Linked DNA regions of Canis lupus familiaris. The protein of the gene in region 5 interacts with the protein of the main gene of each other region in a pairwise test. Links are inferred from orthologs where the notes say so. Each region holds a gene or a part of one and is shown on either strand. Other genes may lie near its edges. The genes, in order: ERBB4, DLGAP3, SYNGAP1, DLGAP4 and DLG4.

What was found.
Region 1: the proteins of DLG4 (region 5) and ERBB4 interact in binary tests that used the Homo sapiens proteins (3 or more experiments, as listed by UniProt). The link is inferred for Canis lupus familiaris from reciprocal best matches to the Homo sapiens genes DLG4 and ERBB4.
Region 2: the proteins of DLG4 (region 5) and DLGAP3 interact in a two-hybrid assay, tested with the Homo sapiens proteins (2 studies listed by BioGRID and IntAct). The link is inferred for Canis lupus familiaris from reciprocal best matches to the Homo sapiens genes DLG4 and DLGAP3.
Region 3: the proteins of DLG4 (region 5) and SYNGAP1 interact in a two-hybrid assay, tested with the Homo sapiens proteins (2 studies listed by BioGRID and IntAct). The link is inferred for Canis lupus familiaris from reciprocal best matches to the Homo sapiens genes DLG4 and SYNGAP1.
Region 4: the proteins of DLG4 (region 5) and DLGAP4 interact in a two-hybrid assay, tested with the Homo sapiens proteins (2 studies listed by BioGRID and IntAct). The link is inferred for Canis lupus familiaris from reciprocal best matches to the Homo sapiens genes DLG4 and DLGAP4.

What each region holds. Positions count from the first base shown.
Region 1 is NC_049258.1:19,995,770-20,001,739, forward strand, and holds the start of ERBB4 (receptor tyrosine-protein kinase erbB-4), read right to left. Parts: upstream 3,494-5,970; 5' UTR 3,334-3,493; coding exon 3,252-3,333; intron 1-3,251. UniProt on the Homo sapiens protein: Tyrosine-protein kinase that plays an essential role as cell surface receptor for neuregulins and EGF family members and regulates development of the heart, the central nervous system and the mammary gland, gene transcription, cell proliferation, differentiation, migration and apoptosis.
Region 2 is NC_049236.1:7,122,943-7,129,006, reverse strand, and holds the start of DLGAP3 (disks large-associated protein 3), read right to left. Parts: upstream 3,803-6,064; 5' UTR 3,704-3,802; intron 108-3,703; exon of another isoform or gene 1-107. UniProt on the Homo sapiens protein: May play a role in the molecular organization of synapses and neuronal cell signaling. Could be an adapter protein linking ion channel to the subsynaptic cytoskeleton. May induce enrichment of PSD-95/SAP90 at the plasma membrane.
Region 3 is NC_049233.1:3,029,918-3,035,374, reverse strand, and holds part of SYNGAP1 (ras/Rap GTPase-activating protein SynGAP), read right to left. Parts: intron 5,249-5,457; coding exon 5,207-5,248; intron 4,816-5,206; coding exon 3,741-4,815; intron 3,336-3,740; coding exon 3,162-3,335; intron 2,934-3,161; exon of another isoform or gene 1,487-2,933; coding exon 1,275-1,486; exon of another isoform or gene 1,263-1,274; intron 657-1,262; exon of another isoform or gene 517-656; intron 179-516; coding exon of another isoform or gene 166-178; coding exon 72-165; intron 1-71. UniProt on the Homo sapiens protein: Major constituent of the PSD essential for postsynaptic signaling. Inhibitory regulator of the Ras-cAMP pathway.
Region 4 is NC_049245.1:25,731,879-25,738,090, reverse strand, and holds the start of DLGAP4 (disks large-associated protein 4), read right to left. Parts: upstream 3,973-6,212; 5' UTR 3,764-3,972; intron 1-3,763. UniProt on the Homo sapiens protein: May play a role in the molecular organization of synapses and neuronal cell signaling. Could be an adapter protein linking ion channel to the subsynaptic cytoskeleton. May induce enrichment of PSD-95/SAP90 at the plasma membrane.
Region 5 is NC_049226.1:32,391,782-32,397,693, reverse strand, and holds the start of DLG4 (disks large homolog 4), read left to right. Parts: upstream 1-1,829; 5' UTR 1,830-1,955; coding exon 1,956-2,124; intron 2,125-2,799; exon of another isoform or gene 2,800-2,895; coding exon 2,896-2,994; intron 2,995-3,195; coding exon 3,196-3,236; intron 3,237-4,118; exon of another isoform or gene 4,119-4,275; coding exon of another isoform or gene 4,276-4,305; intron 4,306-5,912. Other genes in the region: ACADVL (very long-chain specific acyl-CoA dehydrogenase, mitochondrial), read right to left, coding at 1-104, 511-645, 756-820, 902-974, 1,063-1,128, 1,401-1,476, 1,553-1,614. UniProt on the Homo sapiens protein: Postsynaptic scaffolding protein that plays a critical role in synaptogenesis and synaptic plasticity by providing a platform for the postsynaptic clustering of crucial synaptic proteins.

The DNA.
Region 1 (5,970 bases), on a different chromosome or scaffold from region 5:
TTTACACAACCAACCATTCAATTTTATCGTAACAGTCCATACTACAGTATTTTCAAGTTATTTACAGTTACAATGAGTATAAACTTGTTTAGAAGCATTCTGAAGAAAAAAATGCCTTCCCCTAAAAAGATCCCTTTGACATATATAAGAATTTCAAAAAAAAACAAAAACAAAAACAAAAAACGTGTATCCTGTGGGTGTGCTTACAGTAAACACATGTAGGAAAGATTTTTTTTTAGTGTATTGAACATCTTTTTATCTACCTAAGTTTTATTAACTTTTTCCTTCTCAAATGTACAAAACAAAACCCCAACCCTAAGTTTGAAGATACATCTTAATATGTAGGAAAAAACGTATGTTATTCTATAGCATGAAAAGCAGAATTAAGTTACTTGCAAATAAGAAATGGAAACTGAACTTGTTCATCCCATATCTATTGAGGTATGTAAGAGCATCACTTCAATATTATATATTGTAATTAAATACAAAGGTGATACTATTTTTAAATCATGCCAGGAAAACAGAAATTTTGAAATTATCCCTTTTGGTAGAAAAGGCTTTATAACAGTCCTATAAAGGGCCTTTGGCTATATACTATATATATACATATATATATAGTATTTCTGGATAAAATGAATTACTGGAAATGAGACAAAGTCCTGAGACATATTTAAAAATTGTTTTCTCTAAAGCTGATTTTTTTCCCAAGCAAGAGAAGAAAAAATAAAAACAGGTCCTTTCCCATTATAATTATTTTAATAAATATCTTAGATCTATACAACAGAATCCTCCCTCCACCCATATCTTTATTCTGTTCACATAGAGCAGTAAATAAGGTGCATTCCTTCTGCTTAAGAAATTAGCATTTCAAAAATATGCCACTTTCCCCTGAACTCCAAGCGTGTCTAATAATGCGAGAAGCAGATTGTCTTCCCTCGTTTCCTTAATTTGTTTCATCTAAAAGCAATTCACTCAACATCTTGTCGCCCTCTGGCAGCTTAGTTTACTTATCCGCACTTAATTTCTCATTTGGACCAAAACAAACTCCTCCAAACTGCTACTGACTGCTAACCGCGAGAGGGGAGACACGCAGTATGTATTTACTTGGGAACAGACAGCCCCACGGACACAGACACAGACACACACAGCCTCACTCACACTCCACACAGTAACTTGGTTTCGTGAAAGCACTGTATTAAAACCAGCTGAACTTTCCCTGCCAGGTGCGGCAGGGGTGGTGGGGGCGGGGGGGGGGGGGTGAGGAGGGGAATAGGGTGAAGAAAGAAGTCCCCAGGGGCATTTACAGTTCCCAGTGGATCACCTTAGCATGCGTGTTGCAATTGTACCAGGGATGCACCGAGAGCTTTTCTTTGTGCGGCCCTTTCATCTGGATCACTCTGTGTTTTGAACAAGTGAGGCTCGCCTTTGTGCCCCTAGAATTTCAAGTGCAGAGTCACACACAGAACAACAATGGCACGCTAATCCCCGCGCTCTACAGGGGCTCACTTGTGGGTCTGACCATTCGCGGGGGGAAGCGAGAAGAGACCAGCGAGGGCGCGAGGCGGTGTCGCCGGAGACGAGGAAGGGGACAGCTGCAGAACTAATTTGGATTGCATTCTTTGCAGAAATTCTGAAAAGGGCTTTTCGGCATAGCTCACCCCTGAGCCACACAGTTAATACCGAGTTGCTGCGCACTCGGAGCCGGGTCCCCCAGCGGCCGAGGCTGCACCGACAGCCCCCAGTGGGCTGCCTCGGACTCGGAGAAATCCCTCTCGCCTAAGTCTGCGTGTCGGTCGCACACGCTTTTGAATGGGTCAATGTGCATAATCGACCCATTGAGGGAAAATACGAAGGGACTCGGAGTGCGGAGGGAGGAGGTAAAAGGCACGTATCTAAGAGGCCGCCTGGAATCCGCGGTCGGGGCTGGTGCGGTTCCGGCGGCGGCTGAGCGCGCGACCCGGTGCGCATGAAGGACTCCCGAGGATCGGGAGGGTGCAAACGGCGAGCACCAACGGCGCACGCTGGTGCCACTCGAAGGTCATTCTGAAAGGCTCGGCGCCTGCGACTTGTTATTTACTAGGCTAGGAGGGAAGGCGGCAGCGGCGGGGGCGGAGCGCGGAAGGCGGCGCGCGGCTCCCGGTGAGGTCAGGGGGACGCCCTCCGGGGGCCCGACGCGGCCCGAGCCCCGCTCCCGGGCGCTCCCGGGGGGCTTCACCCTCCCAGCTGCCTCCCACGCTCCCGCCACCAGCCCGGGGTGGCTCCGGAGATCCCCCCCGCTCTGCAAAAGGCCCCCTTTGGCGGCATCAGACCCACCGGCCTCCGTCCTTTCCCGCCCCGCTTTCATCCCCAGGAAACTCAAGTGTCAAAAACTTTGAGCAGCCTCGCCCTGCAGGTGCCGTGCGTGGCCCTGGCCGCCGCGGACGCCAGCCCACCCCGGGCCTCGGGGGCGGTCGGCCTGGGCCCGTCCAGGTGCCCGGGCTCGCGCCTTCTCGCAGGCGGTGGCGGTGGCGGTGGCGGAGGCGGAGGCGGTGGCGGCGCCGTCGCTCCCGCCTCGGGGTGGACCGGGTCGCGCCCCGGGTCGGCTCGGCAGCCGCGCCGGGCAGTAAACAGCGAAGTTGGAGGGACTCGGGCCAATAGAAGTTGAACTACAGGAAGAACTCTTCCCGGAGCCAAGCCGGGCGACGACGGCAGGGCCGGGCTCCCGCTCAGGGTGTCAAACCCCTTCCCTGCCCCCCCCCTTTTCTTTAGAGAGAGCCCGCGGGCCAGCGAGCTCCGTCGAGTCGGCGGCGCGCAGGCTGGCGGCCGCCCCAGCGGGGAGGGACCCGCGGCCGCACAGGTGCGCCGCCCGCCGGCTCGGGGACAGCCCCTGCGGAGCCCCGCGCGCCGGTGCCAGGCGTTCGCTCTCGGGGCGCCCGCACGGCGGGACCGTCCAACTCGGGAGCCTCGGGAGCCGCGTGTCCCGCGGCCCGCACAACCGGCAGGACCCGCAGAGATCCCGCTTTTAGGCTCCCCCGAAAACGCGGGAGAAAGAAAGAAAGAAAGAAAGAAGGGGGTCGGGGAGAAAGGAAGGGGGGAAAAGGGAGGGGGGACAGGGTCGCAGAGTGACATTTCACGGTAAGTGAAACGCAGGTACACGAAAAAGGCTAAGTTTGGGGACGGACAGACGGAGGGAGGAAGGGAAGCCAAGCCCGAGGAGGAGGAGGCCGGAGGGGCGCGGGGGGCGCGGGGGGCGCGGAGCCCCGGACACCCACCTGACTGGGAGGCGTTGGGCTGGACGGTCCCCGCTGCCAGCAGAAGGCTCACCCAGACCCACGGTCCTGCCGCCAGCTTCATTTTCTGCAAGTCTCAGATCCCGAGCTGACAATTACATGTCCAAATGGCATCTCCCCTGTCGGGCACGCGGAGGAGGGCCCCGAGTCCGGCGCGCCCGGGGCGCGGTGCACCGGCTCCCAGCTGGAGCCGCCGAGGGCGAGTGCGCGTGCGAGTCCGAGTCCGAGTCCGAGTCCGAGTCCGAGTCGGCGGGGCCGGGGCCGGGGTGCGGGGGCGCGGGGAGCCGGGGCCGGGGCCGGGGCCGGGGCCCGAGGAGGGGCGTGCGCGCCGGTGTGCGCGGGGCCGTGCGCCCGAGGGTGTGCGCGTGCCGCTCGGGGCCGGACTGGGCAGCGCTTCCCCCGTGCGAGCCTCCGCGTCCTCGCTCCCTCCTCACTTTCTCGCACTGGTTGGTCAACAATAAAAAGGAAGGGGGGAAAAGGCTTTCCAAAAAAAGTTGATTGCAAAGAGGCGGTAGGTTTCCGGCCTCTCCCCGCAGCCGGGCTATGTTGGGCTCCCTTTTCAGTTTCCTTGCACCTCCAGTCCCAACTGGGAGGGGATGGGAGGACGAGGGCGGGGGGGGGGGGGGGGGCGAGGGGAGGGCGCTTCTCGCTTCTCCCCCGATCCTGTCCTTCTTTTTCCCGTCAGCTTTCCTCACACTTGTCCGGCGGCTGCGGTAATTAAAGCTCCGAGCGTCATTTCCAACGCTCCGCGGTCTCCAGCTGCAGCCCCACCGAGAAATTAATAAGACTCCGGGAGGGGGGAAAAAAAAAAAAAAAAAGGTGGAGGGGGGGCGGATAAAACAAGCCTCCACGCAACCGGGCTGGCTCGGCTCAGCCGCGAGCCCCGCCCCCGCTCTGACCCAACTGGCCCCGCCTTTTTCCCCGCCCCCCACCCCCCAGAGGGGAATCTTATTGGCTCGTACTCTCCCCAAAATCCTCAGTCTCAGGAGTTGGGAAAACACCTGTCTGGGAGCGGGCGCGTGCTGCGGGGGGCGGGGGAGCTGGATTTAAAGGGCTCGCCCGACCCAGCCGACCGACGCCGAGGCCCTAGACAGCGGCTTGCGAGCGCGGAGACCACCGCAGGGTTGCTCACAGATTTTTTTTTTTTTTCTTTTCCTTAAACCAGAAAGTCCCCGTTTTCTCTACTGCCCCACACACAGTGCTCATCCACAGACTGGAGCTGGAAATAGAAGAAAAGAAAACGTTGCTTCGGGCATAAAGCCTTCACCCTTCTCCAACCTCTAATGCTGCTGCACACTCAGAAAGTAGTTAAAAAGGTGGTTCGGGAGCTGGGAGGCTCTGCCGGTTAGGTGGTCCTGGGAACACAATCACCCGTTTTTCCAACTATGCCATCCCTCCCACAATTCCCACCCTGCCGAACTGACGGCATTTATATAGCTACAGCCTTTGCTTTTCAGACCTCGTAAGTCTTTTTTCACCTTTTCCTTGGACTTGGGACAACTTTGTATGGGGTTCATTCTCATTAAACAGATTCTCGTCCAAAGGTATAAATGTGGTTCTAAAGGGCTAGAAACTCTCTCACTCCGCAGCTGTTACTGTGAAAGAACTTAAGGCCATACCAGGACATGGCCAACACAAATGATTATTAGGCTTATGCTACAGTAGACCCAACTTTAGGTACCTTCTGCGAGTCCACACTCCCCAGTCCCCATATCCCTAACTATAGGAGTTTCTGTGCCTTTCTTGATTAAAAATATCCTGGATTTGGGTCATATCAGTGTACATATCCCTTGCCTTTTACAGCTCTGAAACGGTACCCTGGGCAGAGGCCAGAACCTCCTGGGGGTAGTAGGTTATTGGTTTGCTATTTGCACAGGCATTCTATGTATGGATTACTTTACTTTTTATATTTCTCCAGAAGCAGAAAATATATAAATAAAAAGTATCAGGGGAGCTTAAAAATCAAGCCACCTCACTCATCATTTGAGACCTTCCCATTCCTCCCCCACATCTTTTATCTATAGCCTTGTCCCTAAAGAATTTTCATGGAGCTGAGAACAGAGAGAAGCAGCAGCCTCATCCCAGAAACCTGAAGCCTTCCCTTTCTTAGGCCCACAGCAAGGAACAGGCACAGAGAGGAGTCCAAACAAGCTGAGTATGTTGTTTTACCCAGGAGCAGCCCAGTGCCTGGAGAAATTAAGCCCAGAACAGATGATGGTGACTTGACCAGAGTGGTACTGATTGCTTCAGAATTGTGCAGGCTGCTCTTTGGGATTATCTTTGCTTTCTATTTTTATCATCCTCCCTCCCTCCCATTTTCTTTCCTTTCATTCATTCTCTTCTCAGTCTCCTTTACTTAAATCTCCTTCTGCTCCTTATGATGATGCTCAGGACACCTCTCTTCCATGAAAACTACTTCTTAAAAATTTCCTTCAATCCCCAGAGTAACAATTTAAATGATAAAAAAAAAAAAACCTTCCTGCTTTTAGGAAAGTTTAAGTTTCTATATTTAAAAAAAGGTTCGGGGGATCCCTGGGTGGCTCAGCGGTTTAGGGCTGCCTTTGGCCCAGGGCACAATCCTGGAGTCCCAGGATCCAGTCCCAGGTTGGGCTCCCAGCATGGAGCCTGCTTCTCCCTCCTCCTGTGTCTCTGCCCCCCCCCATGTCTATCATTAATTAATTAATTAATTAATTAATTAATT
Region 2 (6,064 bases), on a different chromosome or scaffold from region 5:
TCAAAGGACACAGAGGCAGGAGCCTGCAGGAGCTGGGAGCTTGAGCCCCCCGCCTCCTTCCTGGCCCGCTCCCATTCTGAGCTCTTGGCTGGGAGGAAGAAGGGACCCCGGGACCATTCTGGCCCTTTGTTAACAAGACACTTTGAAGCCGCATCAGAAAAAAGGATCAGATCCCCACCCACATACCTGGACACCCCCACAAACCCAGATTTCTTGGGTGCCTTATGTGCAGATGGTAGAAGCAAGTATTCAGGCGCAAGCATGTTCTGATGCTCGGAAGCATGTTTTGCATGTGGGCTGCTGGGCAAGCACATGAACACATCAGCTAGCATGTGCAGGTCGGTGCAAGTATGTTCTGGGTGGATTCCCATGTCACAGCCCAGGCGATCCTACACAAACTTATGTAATCCCACGCGTAAATCGGCCCCCAAGTGACCCAAGGGCAAGGCCATCCTCTCCCCCCAGACACCCTTACTCATCGGCCCTTCCCTCGCAGCCTCACTTTTCCTTTCTGTGACTTGGGGACAAGGGCTGGTGGGGAGGCAGGCTGCCTCGGAGCCCAGGGACTTGACGAGTTATTAGCAACAATGAGCTAGCAGCTCGTTACCATAACGATGGTGCCGCTGCCTCGCCCCAGCTCAAACCCAGACTCCCCAGGCGGCAGGAGGCCCGCTGAGCCAGCAGTCTTCAGACTGGGGCTGGGGTGGGGGGGCAGGCGGGCAAAGAAGGCAGCAAGACACGATGCTTGTACAGCGGAGGGCACGCAGCTGGTCCTCCAACTCCCACTGAGACAACAGTTGACTCCACCAAGTGGGAATCAAATCAGACTCTGGGAAGGCTTCCTGACGGCGGAGACGGCAAGACCCTGGAAGGGGTCTGTAGGAGCCCCTCTAGGCAAAAGATTCGGCTGTCATTTGCCGCCTCGTCCCCTCACTCCAAGAAACTCTTCCACTGATCTTAGCAGATTAAGAGAAAAAATTTAAAAAAAAAAAAAAAAAACACCAAATAGAAGGCCCCTCTCTGAATTCCAGTCTTCCCATCTGGCAAATGGGGACAATTATCTTAGCGTTTACCCTAGGTTTCTGGAAAGTGTGATTCGAAAGGGTTTAAGGGTAACTACAGACCCTCCCCAAACCAGAAAAGCCCCAGAAGTTTCTCTACCCAACAGGAACCCATGAGATAAGGACTGTCAGGCCAGCTAGAGGCGGAATGCATCAGAAACTGGGTGGGATGAAGGAAGATGGAGCCCGGCCAGCTCGAGCCCCAACATCAGCTGGAGAGAGATGATGTGAGGTGCCAGGCGGCAGCTGAAAGCAGGCACCGCCACGGAGAGTCTAGGAGTCTGGTCTTCAGCAGATCCGGCCCCTCACACGCAGGAATCCGGACAAGCCCGTGGCCTACTCCGCGGTGGGCATGGCCGCGAAGCCACCCCCAACCCCTGGCCCTCTCTTTTATAAAGGGTCCCAGGCTAAAGGATCTACAGCCTCGGGCTTATTGGGTCTTTGAAACCCCCTCTGCTCGGCTCTGACGGGCATAGACTGGGGCGGGCAGGGGGTCCAGGAATGGAAAGCAACGCGCAGGGTTGGAAAGTTTCCGGGCTGAGACTCGCCAGGAACACGCAAGTTTGCTGTGTGACCTTGGGCAAGTCCGCGCCCTTCTCTGGGCTTCGGTGCCCTCACTTTAGAATCAAGAGGTTAGAGCAAGTCAGTCCCAAGGTTCCTCTCCCGGCCGCCGTTCCACAGCTCCATGCAAGCGCACCCCTTGGACAGGAGCCCCCTGGCATAAAATGCAGTGGGCACCACGTGCAGGATCAGTGGGGGCATTGAGGGTGGGGGCTGCAGGGCTTGCGTCTGAGGCTGTTCATCCTATGCTCATGTTCCTTTTAGAAACACCTGCCACCCTAGCCCTCCCAGCTCCCTTTTTAGACCCTGATTCACTGCCAACTCACGAAGCCTCTCCCTTCCCTCCCTCCTCTCTTCTCCCCCAATCTCTCTTTTAGGCCTTGGCAGCTGGGTGCAGAAGTAGCCCCGGCACTCAGGGAACGCTGGGTGGGGGGAGACACGGCGGCCCAGGGTCTGAGAGAAGACGCCGGGAAGCGCCACTCTTTCGCCTTGGCCCAGCCCAACTCTGCGAGTCACCCCAAGACCTGGGTTGGAGTCCTTCTGCCCCGCTGGTTAGCAGGGGGCAATCCGGAGAACCGCCATTCACCTCTGAAGCCTCAACACCCTCATCTGTCAACCGGCATCATACTAAGCCAAACTACGTGAAATTGCTGCTCTTGTAGGCAAAAAACAAAAACAGCTGAATCCTGGCCCTTTCAGAGCCTTAACCGGGCCTGCCTGCTTCCTGAGGCTGTTGGGGGGATAAGAGGAAGGAGGTGAGGAGGGGTTAGTTTTTCAAAAGCCCTGCACTGATACAAAGGCACTGTTTTCTTACTATTCTTACTTCAAAAGCTTTAGCACAGACCCACCTGGAGCCAAGGGCCTGAACAAATGACCCAGAACTTGGAAATTTAGGACTTGGAAGTCTGGGAGACAGCCACCTGCTCTGATGACTAACAACAGGACAGCAGCTTCCACCTGGCCTCCTCAGCTCCTGGCACTAAGGGGCCCTTGGTGAGCGTCACGGGGGTGACACAAGTTCCTAGGCCCCAAGATTCTTAGCAGCACACACACTCCCGCGCCCCCCGGCCCCCGACCACCGGGGCCCCACAGGCAGCAAGGACCCAGCCGTGGCATCGTGGGGGGTGGCCCCTGGGGAGGTGAAGGTGAACCTCAAGGTGGGGAACGCAGCGCAGCCCTTGCCTGAGTCAGGGGCAGGAGTCGCAGGCGCGGAGGGATGACCCGACCTGGGCCAAGTCTCATCTCCCAGCGCCAGGCCTCCCAGCACCCGCGGTGTCCCCGTCCCCGTCCCCGTCCCCGTCCCCGTCCCCGGGGAAGGAGGGACAAAGCCCGGGTGCTGTGATTCAGAGTGAGCCCCGCTCACATACAGCCTGACACACACACACACACACACACACACACACACACACACAGGCCACGGATGCCCGGACCACTCACGGAGACACAGGCACACGGGCACACACACATCCTGTTCGCAGGGACATACACAGGCACGCGTGGCGGCCGCGCACACGCTCATTCACACACATGTCTACAGACACACACAGCGACACACTCCACGCTCACACCGCACACACCCGCGGACACGCTCGCGCCGCGCACACGGCCGCCCGCAGACCCACGCGGGGACACTCGCACACTCACCGCGGGCACCGTGACACGCACGCACACTCGCGCACCTGCAGGGGAAACTTCTCTCCGGGTCTCCCCGACACCACCGCTGCCCCCGCGGCCGGCGGGCTGCCCCCCCCGCGGCCCGGGCCCCCCGAGCCCCCCCGCGCCGGCCCGCAGCCCCCTCGGCCCCGCGCGGCCCTCCCGCCGCCCCCCTGCTCGGGGTCAGGCCGCGGCCGCCTGCAGGGGCGGGGGCGGGGGGGGCGGCCCAGGGCTCCCTCCTTCCCTCCACCCCTCCCCTCCACCCCAACCCCGTCCCTCCCCCCTCTCCCCTCCCCCCCGCCCCCTCCCCCCTCCCCGGGCCCGGAGCCGAGGCCGCGGGCGCCCGGGGCGTGGGCGGCGCCGGGGCCGCAGCCAGGCCGAGGCTGGGGGGCGCTGCCGAGGGCGCGGCCCCGGCCCCCCGCGCTTACCTGGCCCGGCTGGGGCTCCGGCCGGGGGCCATGGTGCGGGCGGCGGGGGGGGCGGCACTGCGGAGCCCCCGGCGGAGGGGCCGCGCCGGCTGCGGAGCCCCGAGCGAGCGCCGGGCGGCTGCGGGCGCGGGAGCGGGAGGCGGCCAAGCCACGGAGGCTGGATTTCCCGGGGACCGGGACGGGGAGGCGGGGGGATCCCGCCCGCGCGCTCCGCCCCCGCCCCCGCCCCCGCCCCCGCGCGCCTGCCCGGCCCGAGGCGGCCGCGCTCCTGCCCCCGCAGCGGCCCGGGCTCCCCGCCAGCCCCTCCCCCCGGGACCACCCGCGCCGCGGGCCCGGGCAGCCACCGCGTCGCCACCACGCGCAGCCGGGGACACGGTCGGGCAGCCCCGGGCACAGGGCTCGCGCCCCCCGAGGCAGGTCACAGCCTGGGTGTCACCCGGGAGCCCCCCCGCATCCCCTCGGGAGGCTCCTCGGGCCCCCCCGTATCCCCCCCCGCATCCCCTCGGGCGGCTCCTCTGGCCCCCCCGTATCCCCCCCCAATCCCCTCGGGAGGCTCTTCGGGTCCCCCCATCCCCTCGGGAGGCTCCTCAGGTCCGCCCCCTGCATCCCCCCCTGCATCTCCCCCATCCTCTCGGGAGCCTCCTCGGGTCCCCCCGCATCCCCCCCATCCCCTCGGGCGGCTCTTTGGGTCCCCCGTATCCCCCCCCCGCATCCCCTCGGGAGGCTCTTGGGGTCCCCGCGGGCCGCCCCCCAGCCGCGGCCGGGGAGGGGCGCTGTGCCCGGGGGCCCCCCAGCCTGACACCGGCGCGGCCCAGGCCACCTGCCGGCCGGCGGCCCCCCAGCCCCTGTGCCCGCCCACCTCGGGGCCCTGGGCCGTGCGGGGCGCTGCGGGGAGGGCAGGGGACAGTCCAGCCCGGAGGCGGAGAGCTGACTGCAGCACTTCCCGGCTGGAGTCGGTCCCAGCGCCCGGGAGACGCTGGGCGAGGCGGGGAGAGGGGGGCCTGGGGAAGCCGCAGGGGGAGGGGCTGGAAGGCGGGGGAGGAGCTGGTCCTGGGTTCGGATTCCGCGGGGTGCGGCGGGCGCCGGGAAGGGGGAGCCTGTGCTGCTTGGAGCCCCCCTCCGCCCTGCCTGCCTCCGCCGGTTCTGGTCCCCAGCCAGGGCTCGGGAGCCTCGGAGACCAGCTGTCCTAGCTGTCCTCCTCTCCAGGGACACACATTCAAGTTATTGTGACTCCACGTTCACCCAACTACCCCCTTTGCCCGGTTCCCCTCTGGGGTTGCCGGCTCTCTTCCTTGTATAAAGGGAGAAACTGAGGCGGGGAAAGTAGGAGTCACAGGCTCCAGAAAAGTTAAAACTGGGAGTAAGCCCTTTCCCCTTCCTGCAGAGAACTGCTTAAAGATCCCACATGACATAAATGACAAAAAGGAGTGTGGAGGGATCCCTGGGTGGCGCAGCGGTTTGGCGCCTGCCTTTGGCCCAGGGCGCGATCCTGGAGACCCGGGATTGAATCCCACGTCGGGCTCCCGGTGCATGGAGCCTGCTTCTCCCTCTGCCTGTGTCTCTGCCCCCCCCCCCCCTCTCTGTGACTATCATAAATAAATAAAAATTAAAAAAAGAAGGAGTGTGGAAAGCCCTTGCCCAAGGAAATCTAGACTCTGGGATGGGGGCCGGGCAGGACGGTTACCTTGCCCTGCGCTGCGGCCCACGAGAGCGTTTCCATCAGGAATTTTCAATCTAAGCTAAGGTTGCAGCTCATTTCCAGCCCAGGGACCAGGCAAAACCAGATACAACAGAAAAGAAAGTGGAAAGTTGGTCCCAGGAACCCACCTTAGAACTGAAAGAACCACTTTGCTTTCCGTGGAGGATAAGACCAGCCATCACTAGGACACCCAGGGCACCACCGTGGTTTCCGAGTCCTAAGATGAACGTTTTGTTAGCTATTCTGAAATTGGAACGCATCCTGCAACCGATAGGGACCTTCAATACGGTTTTCTGCTTTTCTCTGAAGGCTGTTATCCAAGGGTTGACGTGTTTTAGAATTGAGAACATGATGTAGTTTTCATCTGTTAATTCAACAACCATTTACTGATTAAGATTAATCAGACAGGTTTACCCTGGGCAGTGTGCTTTCACAGCCGTCCGGTGATGTGTAAGGGAGACAGAGATGTAAACCAATAATTACTTCCAGGGCCAGCTTCGAACGAGTGTGAGCTGTGCAGTCACACAGAGCCCCACACTTAAAAAGGCCCCACTCTTGGTTTAATGCTCTCCTGTCACCGTCTCGAAATTCTTAATGATTTCTTAACAAGGGGCCCTGCACTTCACAAATTATGATTGCTATGTTAGGAATTCCACGCCTCC
Region 3 (5,457 bases), on a different chromosome or scaffold from region 5:
CAGTGAGTGCACAAAGGACAGTGGGATGGATGGGGATGGGACACGGAGAAGATAAATGACATTGTAATTTCCACCTGAGCGTCGAGCAGCCTCTTCTTGGGTTCAGGCAGCGGCTCAGGCATGGCGGGGTGGTCCCGGCGCAGCTCCTCCTCCACCAGCATCAGCCTGAAGGGACGGGCTTCAGTGGGGTTAGTGGCGGGCACGGGCTCGGAGCCTGCCAGTGGAACTCCTGATCCTGGGGGAGCCCCTGCAGCTCTCTGGAAAAGCCTCAGGCGTCCTTCTCCTCTGCCCTCAGAATCCTTCTATTGTTATGACCCAAAGACTCCCTATACTAACCTTCCCCTCAGGGACCCTCACATCTCCCTGCTAAGGACAGCTTTCTGGGATTCAAAGACCTCTATCACCCAGATGCCCCCTTGGCCCTCCACCCTCCCATTCAGGACAGTGCCCTCCCACAGCCCCTCTGTGGCTGAAGGCCTCACTTCTACATCTCCCATTCCATCTCACTGAACCTAGGACACCACCAGTGCCACCCCTGGGATACCCCAAGACCAAGAGGGGTCTCTACAATCATCATTCCCAGCACCTCCGTGCCTTTGATGAAGATTCTCAAAACGATTTCCCATCAAGGATGTCAATTACAACAGGGTTTCAAAGTAAGTTTCAAGTCAAGCCTTTTTCTTCTAATTAATCTTAATCCAAACTACATTCAGAGTGGATCAAAATGGGACTGGCTCTAGTTAGAGTCCAGCCTGGAGTCCCACCACTTCTCAGGATAAGCTGACCGCCTTGCTGAGATACCTTCTTTGGAAGCCAGGCCTTGGCAGAGCAGTTGAAAATGTGCATATGCTAACAGAAGGGTCATTCGGTTTCTTTTACTTTTTTTTTTTTTTTTGGTCATTCAGTTTCTAAGAGAACATCTTTTCAGGGCTGGAGGGAGGGGCTACCCAGGATAGGAATGGCTAGGGGCTACTCTGGCTAGAGGTCTCTGCTTAGATTTGGGGAGAACATCACAGGCTGGATTGAGACTAACCAGTGGGGAGTCCAAGAATTTAAGAAGTTACTCTATCGGGAGAGAGATCAGGGTTCATTTATGCCCTGAGCGAGAAGTTTCTCCCCATTTGGTGATTGGTAGTGAGTGGCAATCTCTGGGAGCAGGTGGTGGGCTTTCCTCATGGTGTCCTGAGTTTGGGGCTGAAGGCTAGAGGGGGAACTTGCTGGCTCTCCTCAGCCTCAGGCTCTCCCTTGTGACCCCTCCCCAGGCCGCCCCTCACCTGCCAATGATGCTCTTGATCTGCGAATCCTTCTCCACCTGTTGCTGCCTTAGCCTCTTTTCGCTCTGCTCCAGTCGGGCCTGATACTGCATCAAGATTTTGCTGGTCTGCTCCTCCTGGGACAGCAGCCTCCGCTCATACTCTTCTAGCTTCCGGTTGGACATGTGTAGTCGCTCCTTCAGTGAATGGATCTCCTCCTCATACTCCTTCACCTGCCCGCCGGGCAAACGACCCCGCACTGTGAGGGGCGCCTCACCCTGACCCACCACCCCGTCTCCATTCTTGCCTACCAAGCAGCCACTGCATGGTAAGGGACAGATAACCCAGGTGCCTTCTGCAGTCCTTTCCCTGCCTGCTGATTATACCAGACATGGTGGCTTTTGAGAAGACCCTTCTATGGAGCTACCTAAGGCTCCTTTAAAATGGACCAAGATCATATGCTCCCATGCCCTGAGCAGTATATACCTGCCCGCACATGTAAATCTGGACACACAAGGACCCACACACAAACATATACAGACTCCCCTCCCACTCACCTTGAGTGATCCTACCTAGAAATGAAAGCTTAAGGTGACTCCTCAGTCCAACCAGAGCACATGGGGAGGGTGGGGAGACCCAGGAAGAAAAGACACTGGATAAGGAGAGGCTATGTGGGGTTCCAGGTCTGGGCTTTAAACAACTCCAGGCTGAGAATCTAAGACTGCCTCTGTTGATAATGATTCTGGAATTCTGGGGCTCGAAGGGCACAGAGGAGTCATTTTATCTGCCCTACTGGCTCTAGAGTCTAGAGCTGTGGTGCTATCCAATACAGTAGACACTAGCCATGTGTGGCTATTTAAAACGTAAATAAAACAAAATTTCCTTCCTCAGCTGCATCAACCACATGAGGCTGGTGACTGCCATACGGACGATGCAGATCATAGAACGTTTCTCATTACTGCAGAAAACTCTACTGGATGGTACTGTTCTAGAGCCTTCCTCAACAAAAATATCTCATCCAAGTCATAGTACAGAAAAAACGACTTGAGAGTATTTTCTCATTCTCCAAAGATGATACATACAGAACCAACCCCACTCTGGAAGCAAAGGAGAGATGTCATTTATTACCAAAGGTGGCTACCTTGGGCATTAGGGCTTAATTCTCTCATGGGACTTGCTATACCAAGTCCATCTAGACAGTCCCAACATTTTCCTCTGCTCAAAAACCACAGCTCCCAAGAAACCTCTCTCTGCTTCCCCGAGTTGGAGTCGTACAGTCTTTACGTTAACCTAATCCTACAGCCACCCTCTTCTTCAGAGCCCTTGGAGCAACAGCCTCTCCAAGGAGCACTGCTGAGCTATGTGTGTGTGCCCTGAGCTCTTGCTGTCTTTTGCTCTAGGCCACCACCAGCTGAGGATCTGGTCTTTCCACACGTGGGCCAACATATACCACTTTCCAACACCAACCCTCTATCATCTGTGCTGGTGGAACAATGCCTGGGTAAGCTGGACATGGTCTGTAGTACAACTGCAGCCCTCTGGCCCCCCACCCAATTTATCAGCTCACACTGCTGGCAGAGTAGCTAGCTGTCCCTTTCCTGAGTAGTCATAGGAATCGGGGCTTCTGTTCTCCCTGGGGAAGAACATGGAAATAAAATGGAAATAAGCTTTAACATAAAACGTTTCTCCGCAGTCTATGATGTGTATAAGCCACAAAATAAAGTTGGAAGTTGGCTTTCCGACAGACTGTGTACCCAGTGTCCCCTAATAGACTGGACACTTCTTAAGAAAGGAGATCAGGTCTTTGTCTCTTCTTTCCACTGTAACTACTTGACCCCTGGGTCCTTCCCTGAGAAGCATCTAGAGGTTGCCCCTGTGGGTAATGGGAAGATGAGGGGCCCAGCGTACCCTATCCAGCCGGCTCTCATCCATCGACTTAGAGTACTCCTTGAGCTTGTACTCCTCTCGCTCGATGTGGGCACTCTCGATGTCAGCTGACAGGTGAGGCATGTTAGAGACCCAGGCCACTGTCCGCTCAGAGGCTGGCATTGTGGGGTTCAGTGTGGATGGTGCCTGAGAATGCTGGGATGGGGCAAGGTGGAAGTGAAGAGAGAGGAAAGGTGGGAAAAGGTAGGGTGCATTTAGGAGAGAGCACTGCTAAAGAAGGTGACCATTCCCATCTCATTCCCCTGCTCTAGTCTCAATCTCCTTGTGAATGCTATTTAATTACATATCATGTCTCCCCTCTGGAGAGGTGAGCTTCATGAGGGCAGGGTGTGTGTGGCACTCAGTGTCAAACCCACAGTGCCTAGAACAGGACATGGCACCTAGCAGGGACTCTGTATACAATTTCTTTAATGAATGAGAGGATGTGAGAAAAGTATGATTTCAGATGCCAGACTCTATTCTGCCCCCACTTCCACAAAGCCATTTCCTTCCACCCTCCCTGTTCCTCACCCATCCGTCCTTCTTCCCACCCTCACGTACCTGCTTGGTGATGGAGGGCTTGAGCCCCCCACCCCCTCCGCCACCGCTGCCCCCGCTGCCCCCAATGCTGCCCTCTTTGCTGAGGCTTTGTTGCCGTGGACGGGCAGGGCCATAACTTGGCTCCGGTGACTGCAACAGATTCCCACTGGATGGCCGGGGTTTCTGGGCAGCGCTGACTGTCAACTGCTGAGACTTGCCCCTCTGCAATGGAGGCGGTTGGCCTCCGCCACCCCCACCACTGCCCCCACCGCTGCTCCCACCTCCGGGCCCTGAGGGGGCAGGCCTCTGGGGACCAATGGTAATCTGGGGAGGGGACAGCATGTGCTGCAGGTTGTCCTGGAGTGAGAGCTGCCGACGGGTGAAGTCAGTGCCAGAGGGTCCAAACTCATCACTGTAGCTGTGGCTGTGAAGGATGGAAGCAGCGGGGGGCTTGGGGACCCCTGAGGAGAGGTCCTCGCTCTTGCTATAGCCATGGAACGGGGCAAAGGTGTCCCCGGGGGGCTCTCCACCTCGGTGGTGGTGATGATGGTGATGGTGGTGATGGGAGGAAGGTGGACCATGACCACCACCCCCTCCGTGACCCCCTGGGGGGCCTGGCCCATCAGCAGCCATGTGGAAGAGAGGGTTCTGGAAGGAGAGAGGGATGCGCAGTTGCTGGGCAGGGACACCGTCCGTGGTGACACCCATCTGGCTGAGACGCATGCCAGCCGCTGTAATGGACGAGCCACTCCCCTGGGAGAGGCGTCCAGCAGGCGCAGGCCGCAGCCCCAAGGCCGCGGTCAGGGAAGCCTGGCTCGAGTGCAGCAGGTCCCCAACAGCCGCCAGGTTGGATACACTGCTGCTGTTGAGGCGACCACCGGGCCCATCACCCTGCAAATCCAGCATGGAGACACTCTTGTTGACGCTCAGCATCTTTTGCTCCGGCTCCGTGATATCTGAGCTGCTTGTGCAGTATGCTGGCGAGGAACGGGCCAGGGGTGGACGGCTCACATAGAACAGGTCTTTACCCCCACCAGGGGGTGGTGGGGGTGGCTTTTCCTTGGTTGGGGAAGGGAGGCGAGCCATGTCCATAGAGCTGCGGGAAGGGAAAGGGGCAGAGGAACAGGAGGTGAGGCCGACGCTGCCGGCAATCGAGCCTGCTGTGGTCTGGCACAGGCCTTGGGGTGAGGAGTGGGACCCGCAGGGAAGGGTGGAGAGCTGGTGGTGGCAGCTCTAGAGAGGGCTGGAAGGGAGCACGGGAGGTGACACGTGGGAAGGAGGAAGGAAAGGCCCCTCTGGGAAGGGAGCAAGGCCTTGAGGAGGGAAGGTGTGGGCACCGAGAAGAGGGATGAGGGGTGGGTCTGGGCAAGTATGGAGGAAATGAGGGTGCATGGAAGAGAAGAGGAGAGGAGAGTGAAGGCCACTGGAGGGGGAGGGGGAGCAGACAGGAGAGGAGAGGGGGCCGGGGGGAGGGGAGAGCCCCTCACCTGTTGAGGCCTCGAGCCATGAAGGACTGAAGGTCGATGGAGCTGGAGAGAGATGGGAAGAGGGGCAAGCACAGACAGAGAAGGAGGTGGGTGGAAGGTGTGGACGCATGGAAGGAGAGGTGGGAATGGTGGAATGGGGATGGCATTGTGGAGGGAGACTAGGCTGGAGGAACAAGTGGGGCGGTCAGCAGAACAAGCAGCAGTTGAGGCCACTGCATTGGAACAGATGTTGGGGCTTAGGAGGTCCTGCT
Region 4 (6,212 bases), on a different chromosome or scaffold from region 5:
CTGTCTTTCTGGGTAGATTTAGTGGCTATCAGAAAAAGCAAATCCAGGGCAAGAGCGCCCCATAACAGCATCTCTGCAAGAACACTCATTGACAGATATGCAAGTGAGTTGGTGGGGAGGTAGTCAGGGCTTGGGGGTGGGAGGGTGGTGCTTGCTGGCCTCGGGTCCAGCCAGCTATGTGCACCTAACTAAGCTCCCCATCTCCCTCAGCCTCATCCTTCAACTTGGTCTGACTCTCAGTGAGCAAGGGCAGAGACAAGCCTAGAGGGCCAGTCAGCACTGAGAGCCCAGGCACAATGTGATGAGCACACAAGATATGTCACCTCTGGCAGTGGTAACAGCAGCTGCCACCAGTGATGCAACTGGGAGTGTTCTAGTCCTCTCTATGTTTTATTTTTTATTTTTTTTTAAAGATTTTATTTATTTATTCATGATAGTCACAGAGAGAGAGAGAGAGAGGCAGAGACACAGGCAGAGGGAGAAGCAGGCTCCATGCACCGGGAGCCCGATGTGGGACTCGATCCCGGGTCTCCAGGATCGCGCCCTGGGCCAAAGGCAGGCGCCAAACCGCTGCGCCACCCAGGGATCCCCTCTCTATGTTTTAACTCACGAAAGCCCCACAGCCACCCTCTGATGCTATTCTTGTCTCTTAATCATAGAAGGGACAAGTCAGCTTTAGAGAGAGAGTGACTTGACCAAGGTCACATAGTCAAGAAGTGGTAAAACTGAAGTGTGGCCCACATCTGCTAATTCCCCACCCCATGCCTCATCCCATTTTACTGCAGTAGGTAGCAGGAGAGGGGAACTGCCTCAAGCAGGACCATGGAAGCCCAAACTCCCTGTTTCTCCCCACCAAGTCCTAACACTTAGGAAGCACCCCAAATCTAGAAAATTACAGAGAAGACACAGCAAAGATCTCCCATGCCCCCACTGTGAACAGTTTTCAGAAACACATGTAGCTCTTACAAAAATGATATCATGCTGCCCATGCTGTTTTATAACCTCTTTTTTTCCCCAACTCTACAATACACTATGAAGTTCTTTCCACAGTGGGGAATTTAGGGCCACAGATCCATTTCTAACAGCTACAGTGGGCGCCACTGTATGACTTCAGTAAATGGGTTTAACGAGTCCCCTGGTGATGGAAAAATGGGTTGTTCCCAACCGTCCTTCTATAGTCAACAGTGCTACAGTGAACACTCTCTAGCGTGTCGGGATCCCTGTTATACTTCAGGTCACAGCTCAGAGGCCACATTCTTAGGGAGGCCATCCTGGACTGTTCCACGTCCTTCAGGCCCTCCGATCATGTTAGTATTTACGACATCACCATGCTCATTTCCTTCACTGCACTGATGGAGTCTCTTCTTGGTCACTACTTATTTGGGTGATTGAGTAATACCTGCCTCTCCTCTGGGCTTCTGGGCTCTGTGAGGGCAGAGACCAGCAGGGACTAGCACACGACAAATGCCCTGGGGATGTAGGAATGCCTCTGGGGCTGGTGCCCTGCCCTGTCTGCCGAGCAGGCACCCCTGCTCACATTCTCTCTCTAAATAAAATACATCTTTTAAAAAAATGTTGACTGCAACAAATGATCACAGAATAAAGCATTCTGTAACCACCACCTGGGTCAATGAACAGATTATTGCCTCCCTCCCAATCCTTCCAGCCTCTTTTCTCCATTTCCAGACTCTACTGGTGCTTGCTGTTACTATTATTACTAATAATAAGCAAATGAAAAACAAATGTGTGGCTACTCTACCCGGACCCAACCAGGCCCCCAGACCCCTGGCTGCCTCTGCTCAGGGCGTGGAGACTCCCCATCCGGCTTTCCGACTTTGGCTTTAGCTCTTCTTTAAATAACCAGCTTGTTAGCAAAATAGCTGCAAGTAACACCTCCCTCGCTGCCGCCCGAGCCTCCATCTTTCCTACAATGCTGACGGCTGCTCTCCCAACCCGTGCCAAGGAATCCCGTTCTCCGTCACTGGGCCACACACACCGGGGGCTGCCAGCCACACTGTTATTTCAGTGGCCGCAGCCCTGCCCCTCTGGCTCGGGGGTAGGGGCACATGCACACCGATGGCAGGCATTTTCAGGAAGGACCAGAATGTCGGTGCATGAGCCCTGTGCCCCAGGTCCATATGCCTCAACCTCCCACAGGGTCGTTGTAGTCTATTTGAGATGAGAAGAAAACAAAGCAATTAGTGCCAGGCCAGGCACATAGTAATTGCTCAAGAAATGCCTGCTGTGGTTGGGGTTGCTCCTGTTATGTATTTAGTCCCTGGGGAAGACACGCAGAGCCTAGGGCATGACCAGGACTGTTTGCCAGTGATTACATCCCACAGATACAGCTCTCAGACCGCCATACCCTTATCGCTTCTTTTCTGGCAACAGCATCTCAGCCAAATGCGATAGCTGTCTGTAGCTACGACAGGCGGAGGCCAGACCGGGGGAGCGGGGCTGGGGGGCAGCTAATTAATAGGGGCATTTCCCAGTTATTAATGAGGCTGGCACCGCACGAGTGTGCAGCTCCTTGTTCTCGAAGAAGCAGCACTTCTACATACATTATGTACAGCGAACTTCATGGGTTTTTATTATCCTATGACATTTGCATATTATACATATTTACGAGTCTTTTTCCCTTCTCATAACCACCCCATCAGGGAGGCTGGGCCGCTGTTGGCAGATAAGAGAGTTGAGACCAGAGGGGCTGGCTGTCCTGCTGACCTGAGCTGACTGCAAGCTCTCTGCGATCAGCAGGGACCAGCAGCTGGCCAAAAGGCCAATGGGCTCCCAGGGCCTGCAAGTGTCTGGGTGGAGGGAGGGGAGAGTCCTTTCTCTCCTTTCCCTCTTCCTTCCTTCCACAACTAGTCACTGTGTACCCATTATCTGCCAGGCACTGTGCCAGCCACTGGCTGTCCCCTGCGGGAATGAAGCAGTTATATCTCACCTTTGAGGAGCTGAGGTCAGATAAGGAGGCAGATCGCAAATCAACGGTTCCATGCTGAGTAGTGGTGGGGGACCCCGGGCAAGCCCCTTGAGCTCCCATGAGCCTCAGTTTCCTCATCTGTGAACAGCCTTGAGAGGTGGTGGGAGGGTGAGATTCAGGAATGTGGTGAGTGTTAGGCACTGTTGTGGGGAATAGGGGGCATGCTGTCAGCCTCATCTGTGTGGAAGGATGACGGGACCAGGTGTGGGTGCACTGTGGGATCCTCAGACGGTGGTCAGACATGAGGTGGGGTGCTGCACCTCATCCTGTTCTGGGGTTAGGTAAAGTGGGGACCAGAGGAGTGTGGGTGGAACAGGATGAAGGAGCAAGAACAATGGGGCTCCCCAATATTCAGGAACTCCAATGGCCTCACCTTAGCCCGTCTGTGAGCCCCAGAGCTTCCACGGCTTCCAGCATGGCCCACTGCTCCCCTTCCCTTACTGAGCCCACAGTGTCAACTGCCCAAGCCCCTGGGCAAGAGCTGGCCTCTGAGGTAGTCAGAGCTGGATTTGCTGTGTGTCCTCAGGCAAATGGCTTTCTCTCCCGTAAAACAGACGCAATCACTGTGCCCACCTCCTGGGGTGTGGGGAGGACTGAGTAAGACAAGCAGTTAAACTATAAATTGAGCCCAGACAGAAAAGCTCTCACTGGGGTCCCTTCGCCAGCACGTGGGCGCCACTGGGTGGAAGGCTGGGCATCTCCCAACTGTGCAGAGCGTGGGTGAGCGGGTGAGCAGCCCCGATGCCGTGTGCCCGGGCTACGGACGCACTTACTTACCAACCAGGGAGCTACGTGCAGAGGGAAGATGGGAACCAGTCGGGAACCAGCAGGCGTCAGCTCGGGAGCAGGCACTGGACCAAGGGCTGGCACACACATTCCTCTGGGCACTCAATCGGAGGTGCTGGCGGGAAGCAGCACAGGACAACGCCCTCTGGCACCCAGAGAGACCCAGTTCCAGCCACCCAGCACCTGGCAGAGGGGGAGGCACCAGCGTCTGTAGGAATGGGGGAGAGTGTTAATGAGGAGGTATCAGAGGTGATCCCTCCACCCCGAGCCCGCTGGACTGGCCCTGTGAACACCAGAGTGGGAGATACCACGGAGCAATCATCATAGAAACCCAAGTGTTTGCACAACACTACATTTTCCAAAGCACTCTGGCATCTTGGCTCACGTGGGCCCCCACATTGTTTTTCAGAGGCGTATTTACATGTCATGCATATTTACGATGCCTTTCCCACCACCCACAGAATCCCCACAGCAGCCAGGAAGCCGGGGTTCCAAAGGCTCCAATCCGCCCCACCACTGCCTTGCTTCTCCCTTCTTATCCCTGGATGGGGGAGAGAGCGGGGAGGGGCTGGAGTCACACGGGCCTGAGTTCGAATCCCAGTTCAGCCCCTCACTCACTGAGCGACACTGGGCAGCCAGCTGCCCCACTCCGAGCCTCAGTTTCCCCCCCTGTCAAACGGGAGTAAGAATGCCTTCTCTGAGGGGTGCCGTGAGGATTGAGAAGGTAACACCCGGCCTGGCATATCTACCTGAGAGAGCCCCTCCAAACAGGCTTTGCCCCTGTCCCCTGCACGCAGAGTAGGAGGCCCTCCACTGCCTCTCTGCCCACCACCTCCCATATAACACGTCTTGTGCGAGAGGCAGAGGGAAACCAGGTGTCCCTCTCCACCCACCTCTCCTGAACAGGTGCCACTGCTCCTGCTTGGAACTTTAAATCAGCAGGAAGCAGGCCCTCCTGGAAGGAGGAGGAAGGGGTGCCTCCATTCCATGCCCCCTCCCAGGAGCCTTGTGGCTACCTCAGAGGCTTCCATGGAAGCTCCTGCCCTCAGTCTCTCATTCTACAGGTGGAGAAACTGAGGCACCGAGGAACCTGAGCTGATGTGGGGGCAGAGAATCCAAGTGGGGCTGGAATGTGAACTCAAGCCCTGAGAGGGGAGGTACAGTAGGAATACAGAGGAAAGGCCAGACGATGGTGAGGAATGGTACCTTCCTCTCCTGGTTACCCCAAGGCCCTGGAAAGCCCTCATAACCCCCCTGTATCTGCATCCACTCTTTGCCAAGCCCAAACAGGCTTGACTCCATGTGTTCCTCACCACAGCCCTACAGTGTTATTCCTGGTTTTCAAAGGGAGAAACTGAGGCTCAGAGAGCTTCAGCAATTACTCACAGGCACACAATGAGAAAGGGGTAGGGCATCCAATGCCAAGACCCAGCCGTTAACCCCAATGCTACCCTGCCTCCCCCAGTGGAAGAATCACCAACCAAGGAAAACAGGTGTGACTGTCTGGACAAAAACAAACAAAAAAGTTTAAGTAGCAGAAAAAGAAAATATCAGACTCCAAAAAATTCTAAATTAGTGGACACAAATTCTTAAAGATGCATAAAAGATTTCAAGATAGACCATGGGGCGTGAAAATTGCCAGTGCATGGAAATCCAGCACTTGGGAGGACGCATTACCAACCACGTTGTCACTTTTAGCCCAAATCACCCAGAGCCAAAGCAGAAGGAGAAGCGGTGATAGCAGAGGAAGGCTCCTGTTCAGGGTAGGGGGAACAGGGGTCCTGATCTGGGGATTCCCCCCAATGTCCTTGCTGCAGGACTGGAGCACATCTCCTTCCAGATTCCCCACTTTACAATAAGTGGGAGAAGCACACAGGATGGTCTCTTAGGTTCCTGCCAGCTCTGATGGTATTTAAGATTGGGACTTCCAACAGGGATGAACCTTGAGAACATTATGTTAAGTGAAAGGAGGCAGTCACAAAAGACCACATAGCGTATGATTTCACTTATATGAAATGTCCGAGACAGGCAATTCTGTATGGAAGCTGGTAGATTAGTGGTTGCCAGTGGGGGGCTTGGGAGGGAGTGATGGCTAAGTGGCTCATGATTTCTTTTTAGAATAATGAAAATGTTCTAAAGTGGATTGTGGTGATGGCTGCACAACTCTGTGAATACACTAAAAACATTAAATTGTACACTTTGATTGGGTGAATTGGATGGTATATAAATTCTATCTCAAAAAACCTGTTACAACAATCCAAAGCTAACAAACATTTTGCAACTTCCAAATGGGCAGCCATCCTCTGGGAACCTGCAGTCCCCTCAGTGTTCTTCCCCTGAGGCCTGGGAAACCAAGAAATATTTTCCCAAGAAGCCTCCCACACCCCCACAGACCCTCTATGCCAGAGGCCTTTGCACTTCACATTCATCTCCTCCAGGA
Region 5 (5,912 bases):
GTTCCAAAGAGCAGGATGCCTTTGAAGCCGATGCTCTGATGGGCTCCCAGGGTGATGCCCACACCAAGGTCATGCGTGCCCACAATCTCCACCAAGCGGGCGTACTGGGGGGAAAAGCAGTGTCAGGGATTAACTGACTGCATCGGGGGGGGGGGGGTGTCTTGGCAGGGCCAAATAGGGGCATCCCTACATAGTGACTGGAAAGAATGTTCCCATGGTAGAATGGGACCCTGGTCTGGAGGCTTCCCACCTACCATTAGGGCATGTGAGACTGGGTGAATTCTGTGGCCCGGAGGGATATCATATAGTTTGGTATTTTGTTGGGAAAGGTGTTATGTACTGGGAACAGAGCCATGTTTTTTGTTTTGAAAGATGCAAATATTGGCACAGTCAACATCACACAGGCCCCCCCTTAACTGACAAACCTAAACCCTAGGTCACATGAGGAAGGCGCTTAATCAGCAATGTTGGAATAGCCTGCGATGCTGGCAGTGACCAGGGCTCCCTCACCTGGGTGTTACAGAGGCCCACACCACCCAGCTCGCTGGGTACTTGCAGACCAAAGGCCCCCAGCTCCTTGAGGCCTTGCAGTGTGGTCTCCTCCACCTTCTCCAACGTGTCATTCTTGGCAGGATCGTTCACTTCCTGGAGAAGGCACAGGATGTCGCATCCAGGTTCCTTTCTGGCTGCTGAACACCTCTGCCATCCCATCAGGGACCAAAGCCCTCTGTTCCCCCACCCCAGTCCTTCCTCACCTCAAAGAAACGGGACACAGGCCCCACCAGTTCTTTGAGAAACTGGGTCTGCTCCTCACTGAGTACTGTGGGGGAGAAGGACAGGCTGGTCAGGTCACCGGGGAAGTGGAGAGGCCCTGCCCTGCCCCGCCCCGACGACTACTTACCAGATGGGTAAGGGAACACCTGATCGGTGGTGAGCTGACCCTTGAACATCCCCGCAGCAAAGGACTTGGATTCCTGCTCAGGGAGAAGGGGGTTTCAGCGAGCTGTCTGCTGCAGTGGGTGAGCCCCTGGCCTAGGTCCTCCCGGTATGGAGGCCACGTACCGCCTTGGCCTGCTTCTCTCTGGTCGGAGCCTCAGAGGAGTGGGAATCTGACTTCTCCAGAACCGCCTGGGGAAAGGGACAGTTAGCGAGGCCCGGTAAGGGACTCCCGAGGAGCTGGAGACCACGGGAAGCGCTGGGTGCGGGCGGAGGCGGACGCAGCGACCTTTCCCCTACTTCCATCGTCAGGGCACCCTGGCCTGCCCTTTCCCCTACTTTCGGCGCTACCGCGGGCGCCAGGTGTCCGGGACGGAGAGGGAGACCCCTGCCGGCGGCGGGGAAGGGGGAGCCGAGGCGGACTCCGCCTCCCGCTCTGCGCGCCCCAGGCCGCCGTCACTCACCTGAGCGGCCCCACTGGCATAGGGTCGGCAGGCCGGACCGGGCAGGGGCTGCCCCAGGAGCGCGCTGGGCCGCGAGCTGTGGGGAGCGGGGGCTCAGTCCGGGTCCCCGGTCCCGCTGCCACCCCGGCCCTGCCCTCCTGTCCGACTCGCACCTTCCGACCCCCAGCCTCCGCAGCTGCCGCCCCACGCTCGGGGCCATCCGTGCCGCCTGCATCTCCCAACCACTCCGGTCGCCGCGGTCCTGAGCGCAGATCTAGCGCCGTCCACCCGTCTGCCAAAGACTGGCTGCCCTGGTCCGGTCTTGACTCATCGTCCACAATGCACCGGGGGGGCTGGGCTTCCGGCCGCCAGCGCATGCTGGGAGATGTAGTTCCGGGGCGGGGCCTCCCCCACCCCGCCCCTGCATTCTGGTTAACGTAGGGCTATCTCCAGACGTTTCCGTCTCTCCCAAACGCCTTCGTCCCACCCGGCCCAGCTCGAGTGTAGCCCTCGGAAGGGGCGATGGGATAGGCTGGGGTGGAAGGAGGAGCAGCTCAGGCTTTTGCAGCCGGAGGGATGGAGGGTGGGCCAACAGGAGGACTTCCCCGGTGGAGTTGGAAGGGAGAGGTGGGAGAAAAAAAATGTAAGACGGCGGAAGCAGGGGCAGATGACTCTATGGAGTCCCTTGTGAAACCCATCTCCATCAACACGAGAGGGAGGGACATGGTGGCGTGGGGCGGCCCAGGTATATTCTCCTGAGACCTGAGGTGTCACTAACTTTAGAAACACCTGAATTCTCACCGTAGGGCCCTCCCCTCCCTTCCCCTCTGCAAATTCACCGCCTCCCCATTGGGGCGCTGGAGTCTCTGCCCTTGTTTCCTCCTGAGACTGTGTGACATCCTGGACTCTTCCCAGGGGGAGTGGAACTGTAGGGATTCTTCTGTCGCCCACTCTCACCACACACACCTAGCTCTGGGTCAAGGAGTCCCAGGTCATGTATAGGTCATGTATACCCCTGCCCTGCTGACACACCCAGTGGGGAGAGGCCTGGGCTGGGGCTGCAGGAGCCTCCTTGGGGACACCCCTCCACCCCCACCCCCGTCCCCAGTGCCCAGTCCCTCTGGAAAGTGCAGCAAACTCACCCCTGGCTTTGGGAAGAGAGACCATTGTGCCAGGCGACCCAGGGGGTTAGGACAGGACTGCCCACTTCGGTGGCTAAAGGCTAAAGGCTGGAACCTGGTGGGGAGGCAGCTCAGCTCCAACCCTGGGGATTAGGGAGATTAAAATCAGAGAAGAGAGATGTCCGAGAGACCCAGAGGTGAAACTGGAGAGTCCCATGGAGGAAAGGCCTGGGGGCGGAGCCGAGTGGGGCTGGGACTTGAGGACCCTCCTGCTGATCCTTCCCCACCCCACTTAAGCCCAGGGAGAGGGGACAGGCTAGGGGAGGTGAGTGAGCCGCGCCTTGGTCCATGGGTCTCTTCCCCATCCCATTCCTCCCTCGCTTGCATTTCACCAGCTCCCCGGTCAGCCCTCTGGCTCCTGGCCCCCCCACTGTTGCGATGGGCGCCCCCTCTCTTGGCTGTCCTGCACAGTGACCTCTTCCAGGCCCTGCTGGGTGAGTAGCCCTGATTCTCTGGGGACGCTGGGGTGCGAAGGGCTGGCCTGGGCCTGCCAGGGCAGTGAACACACTTGGGGGACTGTCCGGTTGGCAGCCAGGAGGCCCTAAGGTGCCAGCAGCAGTCAGGGCAGGGGTGGGGGCAGGGGAGCCCCCCCAGGTGGGGTGGGGGAGGGTAACTCAGCTGTATTCTGGTGACAGACATCCTGGACTATTATGAGGCTTCCATCTCAGAGAGCCAGGTAAGGGGGTGAGGTGGGGCGCCTCCCCAGAGGGGCAGACAGGGCAGGGGCCGAGCTGCCGCCCCACCCTTGGGGGCCTTGAAGACAGACTTCTGAGCCCGGGGTGCAGAGAATCCCAGACTCCACGGTCCTGTTGGTCCCTTTCCCCTTCTGCTTCCCCGCCCCCCTCCTCCCTTGGCCCCAATTTCGGGCATAAGGAGTCCAGCACAGAATTACTTCTCATCCTTCCTCCTGTGCAGCCTGAGGGAGAGCTGCCCCCCCACCGGACTCCCCCCTGCCTGCCCCCCCAGACCCCCCCTCCCGCCAGCCAGCACTGCAACTAGCATGGGTGCTGCCAGCCCCACAGCGGGTGCTTCCTCTCCTGAGACCCAGGAGGCCTCCTGATCTCTGGCGCTGGTGCCTGGCCAGGCCTCCATCTTTGCCTTGGGGCCTGTCTGCCTCCGCTCTGCTCTCCTCTCCCATTATCCGGGTTCCTGCCAGCACTGAAGCAGTTAACTCTGCCAAGGCACCCCCCCATCCTCGCTCCTCGCTCCCTCCCTCCCTCCCCCTGCTTCCTCTCTCCTCCTCTCTCCCCTTCCCTCCTCGGCTCCACGGCTCCCTCGGCCGCTGCCGCCTCCAACCCCCCCACCCCACTCCCCCGCCGCGGCCCTAGCCCCTGGCCGGCAGGCAAGACCCCCCCCCTACCCCGGGGCTCCCTGAAATCCAGTTCCCCTCCCCCACCCAGCTCATGCCCCAGCCCCCGAACTCCGGGGCTGCCAGCCCCCGGTGCCCCCGCCCCTCCTGAGAATCGGGGTGTGCTCCCCAGGCCCCCTCCCCTCCACTGGGGACTCCCTTCTAGGGCCCCCTTCCCCTCCCTCCCACGCACCCCTCCCCTTCCCTTCTCCAACCCCCTCTTTCCCCTCTCACCCCTCCCCCCATCCTGGCCCCCCCTGCAAAAGTGGGGTGCGGAGGGGGGAGGGGTGAGAACCCACAGAGGGGAGGAACGAAACTCCGATGAAGTCAGAGCCCCTTACCCGCCGCCGCGGCCAGCCCCCCCAACATGGACTGTCTCTGTATAGTGACAACCAAGGTAAGCACGATAGGGGGGCTCTCAACTGGGGGGAGGGTATGAGTTTGTGGGGAGGGGTTAGGCAGGCCTGATCTGGGGCTGGGGGCTGGGAGTGTACTGGGGGGTCATGATTTACTTTGGGGGTTCACATTTGAGATCATGCTAGGTTTGGCCACAGGTGCCCCCTGGAGTGATCTCTTTGTACCTGTAGAGAAATGGAAAATTTGGGCTGTTTTGTGGTTTGGGGGGGCTGATGGGTTTTGGGGTTCACCAATGATGTTTGAGGGAGACTTATTTAAGGAGAAGCCTGGCTCACATGGGAGTCCTGCTCTTGTGCATTAGAAGGTGGACTGTGTGAGGGGGGGTTCTCTTCCCTCCTGAGGGACAAACTGGCTTCTGGGTGTCTCGTCCAATTTCAGGGGGCTCTTGGCATGGGGGTAGACGGTTATTGGCTGTGAGTGCCTGACTGGTCTGGGGGTGTCAGCTGGCAGAGGAGGGGTGGGCCTTCAACCTATAGAGCAAGCGTCTTGTGGTGGATACATTTGGGGGTACGCTCAATTACGGGGAACTGGGAATTCAGGGTTTGGTCCTATAGAGCGGGATAGTTGGGAGTTGTCAGAGGGCTAGCGCCTGACACAGGATCACCTGAGGGAATGGACCAGGTGAGGTGAGGATTTGGGGTGCTCCCTTGGGAGGGAGAGGCTTGCAGCAGTGGAGGATGCCAGACCCTGAGGAGGAGGAGGAGGAGAGCTTTGGGGAGAGAGGGGATTTGAGGAGGGGACCAGGTGGGTGGTGCAGAATTTGGGGGTGGCCCAGGCAGGTGCTCAATATCCCTGTCTCTTCCCACACTGTATCCACCCCTTGTTGAGAAAGGAGAAGAGCAGATGGAGGGGCATGTTCCCCTTACCCCTGTCACTTGGCATCAAGGTGGGGGAGGACACCTGGATTTCAGGTTCCCAGGGTGCAAAGGAGCTGGAGGAGGAGGGCAGGGTTGGCAGCAGTGAGGACCGGCGGAGGGGGACCCCGTGGTTGGAGCCGGAAAGGGCAGCGCTTGGATGGGGAGCACAGGCCAGCTCCTGGTGGGATGCAGAATACCTAGGTCTTGGCTGTGAGGCTCTGGGACTGGCAAGCTGGATGCCTGGTGTGTGGAGGGAGCTTGGGCGGGTGGCAGGCAGCTGGGGGTTGGGGGGTGGGACAGGAAGTGGGGGCCGGGGAGGCGGGGTCCGGGTGAGTCACAGGCTGGGGAGGGGGTTATATTTAGTGGGAACTGCAGCTTCTCAGGGGAGGGAGCTGAGGACACACATGTTCCCTGCCACAAACTCACACATGTGTGTACACATGCATCGTGCACGTGTGAGCATGGATGGAAGAGACTGGAGGCTGGGGACCTCAGGGTCTGGAGTCCCCACACCCTCTGCAGAGCTATTTGCTTGCCCCCCCTCCTCCCCCCCAGTTCTGTGGGCTCCAGACTTTCTCCTATGCTGCCACTTCCCCCATGCCCTGGAGTTGCAGTGGATTTTTTGCCTCTCGCTTACTCTGGCCTGGTCTCCTCTAATGTCTGTCTGATCCTTTGCTTCTCCTGTCTCCTGCCCTTAGCGTGCCCCTGGCGGCCTCAGCTTTGCTGGCTG